2 linked regions of the Callithrix jacchus genome follow. The protein of the gene in region 1 purifies or fractionates together with the protein of each later gene. This does not show direct contact. Links are inferred from orthologs where the notes say so. Each region holds a gene or a part of one and is shown on either strand. Other genes may lie near its edges.

The links. Proteins that work in one complex are often made in the same cells at the same time.
Region 2: the proteins of LZTFL1 (region 1) and BBS7 purify together in Homo sapiens (affinity purification with mass spectrometry; 3 studies listed by BioGRID and IntAct, counting the BioPlex papers as one, with this or other methods). This does not show direct contact. The link is inferred for Callithrix jacchus from reciprocal best matches to the Homo sapiens genes LZTFL1 and BBS7.

The regions. Positions count from the first base shown.
Region 1 is NC_133516.1:28,563,042-28,568,433, forward strand, and holds part of LZTFL1 (leucine zipper transcription factor-like protein 1), read right to left. Parts: intron 4,869-5,392; coding exon 4,674-4,868; intron 3,393-4,673; coding exon 3,332-3,392; intron 2,261-3,331; coding exon 2,189-2,260; intron 759-2,188; coding exon 693-758; intron 611-692; coding exon 533-610; intron 1-532. UniProt on the Homo sapiens protein: Regulates ciliary localization of the BBSome complex. Together with the BBSome complex, controls SMO ciliary trafficking and contributes to the sonic hedgehog (SHH) pathway regulation. May play a role in neurite outgrowth. May have tumor suppressor function.
Region 2 is NC_133504.1:75,813,457-75,819,284, forward strand, and holds the start of BBS7 (BBSome complex member BBS7), read left to right. Parts: upstream 1-2,393; 5' UTR 2,394-2,552; coding exon 2,553-2,588; intron 2,589-4,804; exon of another isoform or gene 4,805-4,825; coding exon 4,826-4,891; intron 4,892-5,828.

The DNA.
Region 1 (5,392 bases):
ATGACTTCCTGCAGACAGTGACATTCAGTCATTACATTCAGACAGGCCTGAAGAACTATGACACTGGATTTCACTGTACTCTACAGTGCCACCTAGGTACAGATGGATTTGCAGATTCATAACCATTTTGTCACACTCATCAAAGGCAAACTTAGGTAATGTTCAGTATAATAAAACCTAAATATAAACCAATTAACTAAAAACTTTTCTTCATCCCCACCCCCCACTGTAATTGGATGTCAAAGTGAAAGGGAAAAACTTTAAAAAATGTGAGAATATCTTGCATGCCAGGGAAATTACAGGTGTGTGTGCTATGTACTGTCCCCTCTGCCCTGGAGGATGGACAGAGGGAAGGCCACTGGTTCTTACCAGGCCTTTTGGGGGCAAGGATGTCCCAACACAGGACTATAGAGGCATTTGTCTCGGAGTGGCAGAGGGTGGGGTGCAGTGAGCAGTAACTAAGACGTAATTTGAAGTTTAGAACTTCATTCTATTTAGAAAATGTGCAAAAGGTAGTTAAAACTTGTTTCACCTTTTGATTTCCTTGATCAAGCTGTAAATCTTGCAGTGCTTTTTCTAGTTTGGACTTTTCATCCAGTGCATTTGTAGCCTATAATGAAGTTTAAACAAAACACTTTCAGTATTTAATCTGTAGGCAAGTCAATAATTGTGTCAAAACATTTCTCAGCTACCTGTATTTCAATGGTCTTCAACCTTGACTTCAATTTCTCATTCTCTTCTTGAAGTCTTGAAATTTCCTTTGTGAGTAAATACAAGTTTTATTATATTAACCAAAATATTTTAATATTTGAAATTATTACTTGTTTCACTTAAAAATCTAAGTTTTAAATTTAATTTAAATTACATAATAGCTCAAAAATGCACTACTGATATTTTGGTAATATCTCAATTTCATCCAGACCATCAGCCTCAGTATCTGTGAGTCAGCTTTGGCCCTAAGACAGCCAGTTCCTTTCCTCTCAATTTCTCAGACACATCTTTCCTCTTTCAGCCCTCTGTTTTCAAGCTTTTTCCAGAGACCCCCTTCCCTGCCATCTCTCTCCTAGGTGGTCCTGCAAATCCTGGGTCTGTTCTCAGCCTCCACTGCACACTGTTGACCCTAATCCGGAGAACTCCTTCATTTCAGTACCATGCTCAAGCCCACAGATGCTTCTGACTGAGTTGAGCAAACACCTTTGCTCTTATACAGCTCAAACATTCAAGTCACCTGTGTTTTTTTCCACTAGACTCCGACAAACACATCAGGCCAGTCAGAGAGCACTGCACTCTGTTCCAAGTCATGCCGCTTCCAAGTCACTGCCTGTTCTGTTCTCCTGCCCAAAACACTCACTTCTTTTTCCTCTAGAATTTAACTGGTCTTCACCCTTCAAGGCCCAGCTTAGGTGCCTCCTTATCCAAAAGGCTGTTCTCACCTACTCTCATCCACACACAGCTGAGTCTTCTTTGCCCCCAAGTATGACACCTGTAGCACACAGGAGAGTATTCTCTGGTCTCCATTTCTAGAGCATCAGTTCTACCTTCCCAATAAAACTATTACATTTTTGAGGGCAAGGGACAAGGTATTACACTGCTTTTTATCTCTTTAACAACATCTAGCATAATGTTGAGAATACCAAGGTCATGAAAATAGCTGAAATCTGAAATGCTTCAAAATCTGAACCTTTCTGAGCGCTGACATGATGCTCAAAGAAAATGCTCATTGGAGAATTTCAGATATGAGATTTTTGGATCTGGGCTGCTCATCTGGGTCTGTATAACATAAATATTCAAAAATATGAAATCCAAAACACTTCTGGTCCCAAGTATTTTGGATAAGGGATACTCAACCCATGCTGATAAATAATTTTTACAAACTTAAAGCAAAAACCCTTCTCTTTGTTACCGTAGATCACAAACTTTAAATGTCCATCAATAAACGCTGTCCAAAATGTCATGCTCTTCACTTTACCTGGAAAAGCTGTGATCAAGAGCTACTTCAGGCTCTCTAGAAGGTAAGGATGCCCTCTTCTGGCCTATGAAATACCATTAAGTAATACTATTATAGTGAACTAATTATCCTCAGTGGTCCTGAATCAAACCTTCCACTTCTGTTTCTCCATCCCAGAGTTGTTCAGGCAATGAGAGGAGAGAATTAGAGGTTTTCCATTTCTCAAAATAATAACATTACCTTGTTTAGGAGTTCTGCTGTTCCACCTTCATTAAGTGGAGCAAGCTTTGGTTTTGTGATATCTATGATGGGCTGAAACAAAATAAAGAAACCAAACTGAAATCACCCCAGAATAAAGCATGTATAATCACTGAACACTTGCACCTTCCAAGTGGAAGACACTGTATATAAACATATCCACTGGGATGTCAGTTCCACAGGTGCGGAGATTTCTGTTGGATTCATCCTTTGTTATTCCCGGTGCCTACGATATGCCTGTCAGGGTAAAAATAAAACCTATCTTCCCTGTATCTTAAAAAAATACAAACGGAAAATGAGGGAAGAAAGGAGGGAAGGAAGGAGCTCAAAGCTAGATCTGCTATAGAGCCTTGCATTTAGGAACTAGAGTTTTAACCTGTGGGAGCTGAAACAGTGATTTCTGCATGAACCTTAGATTCTGTGAAAAACTGTAATACTGATAAAGATCTAGGCAAATATACTATAGATAAACAATAATTTGGCACAAGTAATCCAGTAGTTTAGTAATATGTATTAAAAACAAAAGAATCCTTGCCCTCTGATCCAGAAATTTCTCCGCCAGAAATATGACCCAAAGGAATAACTGGAAAGTGTTTTGTATGGGTGTGTACCTAGATTCATCTCAGCAGTGTTTATCCAACAATGGAGTATTCACCGTACGTCTGTGAAGTGGAATCGTAAGTCGTCATGCCAGTTAATGAGAATGATTAGAAAGAGAAGTAGATGACTCCTAGTATTGTCTCCATTTGTCAGATGAGTAAAATGAAGCTCAGCTACCTCAGATAACCTGCTCAAGGTAACACAGCCAGGAAGTATCCCCAGGTGTGGCTGACCCGAGAGCCTGTGCTCTGCATCTTCTGAGTAGAGTATTTATGGGTGGGACTGAGACTGGACTCAGGGATCATGGGTTTGTGTAGGTCATCACAGACAAAAGCAGTTTTCCATAGTTACTTCCAAAACATTTTTTCTTTTGCCTCAAAATATGAGAGACAATTTTTGAATTTTACTCTTGAACTGAATGCTTTTCCTTAAGAGTTCTCAGTTTGATCTCTGAATTCTTTGAGTGACTTGAGGATTTTAAATACTGGCTATTAAGATACGGATTTAGAATGACCACAAAGTTACCTTTTTGTTTGAAGATGTTATCTCTGCTTTTTCAAATTCTGCAACTTGTTCTAATAATTCTCTTGAAGATTAAAACAAAGATAAAAATTATTCATTTAAAACAGATTTATATCACACATAAGAAGAGTAAAATCACTGGTACCAACCTATTAAATGCCAGAGAGAACAGAACAAGGAAGACCAAACTTCACCATATCAAAAATGTTAGTTGCAAATGGTTGAGAATCTAAACCACACGGACTCAAATGTGATCATCCACAGCACCTGGCATTTTGCACCTACTAGGTATGCAATATCTATTGCTAGAAATACACTACAATGTTAATATAAAAGTGAGGGAAATTTATAGTCAACTTTGTATTCTCCAGGTGCTATGAGGAGATTTTTTTATTATATAATATGTATTGTTAGCTAGAAGGTGATTCAAGAAAGACAAACTGATTCTTAATAAAGTAGCCTCAGAAAAATGAAAATAGTCCATAGTACCTCTTGAAAAGGAGTATCACAACTCCCTAGGAAAGACAGATAGTGGGGGTGTGCCATCTGAAGACTGGCCAAGGCCAATGAGAACTTCTGTACACAAGCGGAGAGAGTTAACAGCAGTCAGCTTCTAAGCTTCTGTAAGTGCCACCTTCTCAGTTTTCTCACCAGTCACCTCCTGACAGTGGCAGAAGTCAAAGGATTTTCCTCCCCAGTCCACAGGTTGTCCTCAGTGTTGCTCAACACCTGCACATGAACTGACATGCTGTGACCACGCTTGGAGAAGTTCACAGGGCTTGGTGGCCAGTCCTTCCTGATTTCTGCCATGCCTGTTCTTAAAATGATTTCAACTTCACCAATTTTACCATATTTTTTCAATTTGAGCTTTTGATGTCCATATTATAAACTTTTCTGTATTTCATATTTCTTAAAGTTAATAAATGTGTACTTTTAAATTCAATTATTTAGAAAACTTCCAATGCTACTACATTGAATTGATGGTATTTATATTTGAATTGATTTTTGAACTGTCTCATAATCTTTATTTCTTAATTGACCAATCTATAAAGACTGATTGTAATACTGACCAAGCTAACAAAAATGCTGTAAAAAATAATGACAGCCTGAAAAGCAATTTCATAAATCTCAATGGCCCCTGGAATACCCAGGAACAGTGGAACAACTTTTAAAAGGGTGCTGCGTGGTACGCTAGACATCACTCCGTGACTCGATGCTTTGCTGTTACCCTACCCAAATTTTCTCACACACTGGCCCCAAGAAAATATGCAGCAAAGATGTTCACTAACTTTTAAGATTATGCCTGGGCCACTATTGTCACAGTTTTAAGTACAAATTTTATTACCGGTTTTCAAGTTCAGAGATGTCTGTCTGAAGCTTAAGATACCACTTCTCAGCTTGTGCAAACAGCTGTCGCAGAAGTAACACATTGGTATAGGCGGTGTTGATGAGCTCAGATTCTACCTCGCTGTGAACCACAGCTTGCAATCCATTGAGGACTTCAGAGACTTCATCTACGGTGAAGGTCTCCTCCACCAACCTGCAAAACAACCACAATCCAAAACTTATGGATAAACAACAACAAAATCTACAAAATACAACAAATTAAGAAATCCAAATTCATGTAATCTAAGAAATTCAAAGATTACAGTGAAAAATCTCTCTGGGAACTATTTTCTTTATTAATAAAACATTGAAAATAATTTAAACTCAATTTTTGTCATCTATTCAAATGATTAAATTGTGCACATCCTTTAATACACATTCCCAAAACCGTCTTCTATTTTTTTTCTTTAATTTTTTAGTATTAAATGTCTTATTTCAAACTCCACTGAAACCAGTCTTACTACATTTAATAATTTTAAAAGTCACCTGGTAGGCACAGTCTCATTTCTTTCTAATATTTCTCTAGCATTTTAATAACTGTATGAACTAGTCACAGGTTAGTAAATGCCTGTGGGAAATAAATGGTAATTATATATTGCTTCTCTTTGCATTCTTGAGACCCAAAAGAATAATTAAAAAAAAACCTAGCTTACCTTAAAGTTCCATTGCTTATTTCAC
Region 2 (5,828 bases), on another chromosome or scaffold:
AGGAAACAAAAACCATTTCATATAAAAATGTCCTTTATGAAGCAGCAAAATTGTTAATATTGCCTTTTTTTCTCTTTCTTCTGATTCAGCCCTCATTTTTTACATCTTAACTCTTGAATACATCTTTTTAAATATTCTATGTGATGACAGAAGAAGTATGTATAAAATCCTTCTGCTGAATACTGAAATACATTAGTTGTCTCAAGGAAAAGCACTTGGGGGATTGAGCTGCTAGCTGAACTTGCTGCTTTTCTCACGGAACACTTTTTATTTGAAGAAATTACTGACAAATTATGATTTTTCAGACTTAGATATTTGGCATTTATTTTTGTGTGAATTCAAGAAAGGAACAAAATATTTGGCATTTATTTTTTTGTGAATTCAAAGAAAGGAACCTATGAGTTCAAGGAAAACAACTCGCATTAATTGCCAATGTGTAAATTTCAAACTTTCAAGCACAAATTCGAATTTTGGGAAACATGTATTCACCATCAGTTTGACAGATCTCCCATACTCGAGACTTTTTTAATGAGATCCATGGTGATACTAACAGATGGGATTTTTTGATGTTACGTAATGAAGTCACATTCCACATTGCAACTAACCTTTCAAAAAACTGCCACTTGTTGAGTTTGGACCAAATTTTCTTTATATACATGAACAAAAACAACATATAACAATAGATTGACTGCAGTAGCAGAGTTGAAGCTCCTCCTGTCTACTATTAAAATGGACAGAAAATAGATTTGTGTACAGTGCCAGTTTCATTTCATTTTTTTATTTTGGAAAATATTTTTTTTCATTAAGGTATTTGTCACAGGTTTTTAAAACTACACTAATTTTCAGTTCTAATGTCTAATATGGTAAAAACTAATAGATAACTCATATAAACAAACTGTCTTCATATTTTCCAAAGCCATCCACAGATTAAGTGCAATTCCCATCAAAATACTGTTACTATTTTTCACAGAACTAAAAAAAAATTCTAAAATTCATATGGAACCAAAAAGAGTCTGAATAGCCAAAGAAATACTAAGCAAAAGAACAAATTTGGAGGCATGCTATTACCAGACTTCAAATTATACTGCAAAGCTAGTTACCAAAACAGCATGGTACTGGTAAAAAAGTAGACACATAGGCCAATTAAACAGAATAGAGAACCCAGAAATAAAGCCAAGTACTTACAGTCAACTAATCTTCGACAAAGCATACGAAAAAATAAATGGGAAAAAAGGCACCCTATTCAATAAATGGTGCTGGGAACACTGGTTAGCCACATGTAGAAGAATAAAACTGGATTCCCATCTCTCACCTTATACAAAAATCAACTCAAGATGAATCAAAGACTTAAATCTAAGACCTGACATCATAAAGATTTTAGAAGATAACATTGGAAAAACTCTTTTGGACATTAGCTAAATGCAACAAAAACAGAAATAAATAAATGAGACCTAATTTAACTAAAAAGCTTGTGCAAAGCAAAAGAAATTATCAGCAGAGTAAATAGCCCACAGAGTATGAGAAAATATTTGCAAACTATGCATCTGATAAAGGACTTGTATCCAGAATCTACAAGGAACTCAAACAACTCAGCGAGGAAAAACCAAATAATCCCATCAAAAAGTGGTCAAAGGACATTTCTCAAAAGAAGATATACAAATAGCTAACAAGGCCGGGCGCGGTGGCTCAAGCCTGTAATCCCAGCACTTTGGGAGGCCGAGGGGGGTGGACCACGAGGTCAAGAGATCGAGACCATCCTGGTCAACATGGTGAAACTCCGTCTCTATTAAAGATACAAAAAATTAGCTGGACATGGTGGCGCGTGCCTGTAATCCCAGCTACTCAGGAGGCTGAGGCAGGAGAATTGCCTGAACCCAGGAGGCGGAGGTTGCGGTGAGCCGAGATCGCGCCATTGCACTCCAGCCTGGGTAACAAGAGCGAAACTCCGTCGCAAAAAAAAAAAAAAAAAAAAAAAAATTAAAAATTAAAAATGAGAGAAAACCCACCAAAAGCAAATGGTCTTTGTGGCCCTTAATGGTTTTTAAGAGTTTTGTAAAGGAGTCCTAAGACCAAAAGTTTGAGAACTGCTGCCCTTTCCAGTGTCGGAGTGAAATCGGTCAGAATCTACCGAGGCTTAACGAGTTTGTTGTACAGCGATGGGTAAACAAGCCGAGGACTAGCTCTGAGCAGCGGTGAGGTTGGAGCCAAGCCTGCGTCTGGGGTCTCTGTGGAAACCGCCCTGGGTCTACGGTACCTCGCGTCCTTGGTTCCTCTCCGCCTCTGATTGGAACACGCTGTCAGTGGGCGGTGCTTCTGGAAAGGGGCGACCCTTCATCTTCTTCCAGGAGCCACTCGCAGCAGCGTATTGACGTCACGCCGGACGCCGCTACCCTGTCGCCCAGCCTGTACTGCCCCGGACGTGAGCGCGGTTGCTGGGGCTGGCCTCTGAGTGGGTGCCGGCGGCTTTCTGACTAGATCCGAGATCTGCGGGACCAAAGCCTCTGTCCCTCCTGTTCTTGTCCGGCGCTGCCTATCCCTTCCACGTAGTCATCATGGATCTGATTTTAAACCGAATGGATTATTTACAGGTAAACCCAAGGGATGGGGCGGGCGCCGCGCTGGACAAGCCCAGCTCCCTCCCAGAGAGGATTCCTTCCTTCCACTGAGGAAAGTCTAGGTCGCCAGGAGCGGGTGCGGAGGCTAAGGATCCGGTTGGGTGCTGCCCTCCCAGCACCCCGCCTTTGGGCAGCTCTCGTTTGTCTGTGACGGTCCGCGGAGACTGGGAAAAAGTGGCGCAGGCACCCGCCGTGCGGCTCCTGCCGGCACCTGAGGATACTACTCTGAATGTGTTGACACAATCTGATCCCGGATTCCCCCCGGGACCCTCCTCCTTCTCCTCAGCCGCGGCTGCCTGAAGGCCTCTATCTCCTGAATCTCCATCTTCCGGCCCCTTCTCCCGAGCACGTGGCACTTGTTTGTTTCTTACTGTGAGCTGGACCACACCATGCAGATCATAATAAAAGCAATGAAAACTAGGCCTGGGGCAGTGGCACAAGCCTGTAATCCCAGCACTTTCGGTGGCGTAGGCGGGCGGATCACAAGAGGTCAGCAGTTCAAGACCAGCCTGGCCAACATGGTTACACCTCGTCTCCACAAAAAGTATAAAAATTAGCCGGGCGTGGTGGTGCGCGTTTGTAAACCCAGCTACTCTGGAGACTGGGGCAGGAGAATCGCTTGAACTCAGGAGGCGGAGGCTGCAGTGAGCTGAGATCACACCACTGCACTCCAGCCTGGGCAACAGAGTGAGACAAAAGGAAAAAACAAACAAACGAAAAGCAATGACAACAGTTTAATGTGCATCCAGTTCATTCTAAGAATTTAGCATACTAGGGAGTTGCTGTTTGAATCAAAGTCTCGGACTCCAGAACTGGTGTTATTTTTGTTACACCACATTGCCTTTCAGAATTTCTTTCAGCCCTAAAATTCTCTCTTACCCCAATTCCTCCTCATCTTTTTTGGTCATCTCATTTTAGCTAATGGTACAAATGTTTGCTGAGTCAATTTTCTAGGAGTTTATGCTAAGTACTTCCCACCTTAATATCTTCTATATCCAACTGGTCACTACATCTTGCTGCTTTTAACTCCCAAATATCTCTTGAATCTGTCCCATATCTTCTATCTCTGTGACCCTCATTTGGGTTCTCAAGCAATTATTCTCTTGCTTGAATAATTGAAATAGCCTCCAGATTGGGCTCCTGAACTTCAGCTTCATCTCCCTCCAAGCCATCCTTCACATCATTTGCTAGACTGACGCTTCAGAAATACAAATCTAAGCAGATTACTTTAATACAATTTTCTGGAATGCAGAATAAAGTCATTTATACTATATGAACGTTTTGTCATGATCTGTTGTTTTCACCAATTTCTATTCCATTGGTCCCATCCTCCTAACAATTCACCAGTGTGACAGTTCCTTGCTCTTTTCATCTTTTGTATTTTTTTGCAAAATAATATTTTTTCACCCATTAGATTGGATATTATGCCCATAATCATGTTTGATATTTTAGCAGAAATCTTCAATGTTGCCTTTTTTTTTTTTTCTTTTTTCTGAGACAGGGTCTTGCACTGTCACCCAGGCAGTCTGGAGTACAGTGGCATGATCATGACTCACTACAGCCTCAAATTCCTGGATTCAAGTTATCCTCCTGCCTCAGCCTTCCAAGTAGCTAGGCCTACAGGCATGCACCACCATGCCTAGCCAGTTTATTATTATTTGTAGAGACAGAGGCTCCCTGTGTTGCCTAGATGGTGTTGAAACCCTGGGCTCAAGTGATCCTCCCACCTTGGCCTCCCAAAGTGCTGAGATTATAGGCATGAGCTACTGCATGTGGTCTTACGTTGCATTTTTAATAACTGAAATCTATTTTCAAAGATCTTGAATAACTTTACAGAACAACTATATGCAGTTGGAAAAGAAGGCTTCTAGAGATATTTTTTGTGTTTCCACCATAGAAAGCATTGTCGAAGTAACTGCTGAGCTAAAGCCGGCCTGAGATATTTTTTAATAAAGCATTTTGCCAGTCATCTTACACAACTATTTTTGGCTTGTCTTTATAGGATAAATTTTACTATTTTGGTTGTTTCCTATATGTATTCTGACCAATGTAGCATATTTCATTAGAAAGTAAGTTAATTACTGATAATAATAGTTATATCACTAATTTCAGTTTAACAAAAAGTTCACTGTAGCCTAAATCTGCTGATCATTTCAATCTCTATAATAACTTCAAATTAAATTCATTAGGTGGCTGGTGTTTTTCTTTAGGTGGGAGCAACATCTCAGAAGACTATGAAGCTACTTCCTGCCTCCAGACACAGAGCTACACAAAAGGTACTGTACAGATTCTGATTTCTCTACTATTCCCTTGCACTGACAGAGGAGAGGCTCCTATCTCCTTCTTTATTATTAAGTTATTCTCTTAAAAATGCTAATTTTAAAATGGAAATTATTATTTTTTTAAATTTGAACAGAGATTGGAATACCAAGGGACATTTATAGACAATAATTTTCTTTGACATTAAAATTATTATATACCATTAGTAAATAGTGTAAGCAAAATTAAAACCCATACTTCAATTTTTCTGTATCAGATGTGTATATGAACAAAGAAATATAAAGCAGAATAAGATATCAAGAAAAGGCTCTCTTTAAACTTTCTCTATTTTAAAGTCATTAAATATTTTGATGTTGAACTTTATATTTAATTAAAATATTGATTATGTTTATAGAAATATCGATCCTGTGATGTTCACAAAACCATTATGGTTTCTTAGTAGACTAGCCAAGTATTTTAATAGCTGCAAAACATACTTTATTCTGATATATCAGCATTTTAGCAAGATGAATCAACAATTCCACATAGTACTAGAAGTCCTAGCCAGAGAAATTATATAAAAAAAAGAAATAAAGTACATCCAGATTGGAAAGGAAAGTCAAAATATCTCTGTTTGCAGATGACATAATCCTATGTATATAAAAACCTAAAGACTTTATCAAAAAATTCCTAGAACTGACAAAGGAATCCAGTAAAGTTGCAGGATGCAAAATTAATGTATAAAAATTAGTAGTGTTTCTATACACAACAAAATAGCTGAAAAAGAAATCAAGAACACAATCCCAATTATAATAGATAAAAGATAAAATACTTAGGAATAGCCAGGCGCTGTGGCTCATGCCTGTAATCCCAGCTCTTAGGGAGGCAGAGGTGGGAGGATAGCTTGAGCCCAGGAGTTCGAGACCTGCCTGGGCAATATAGCGAGACCCCGCT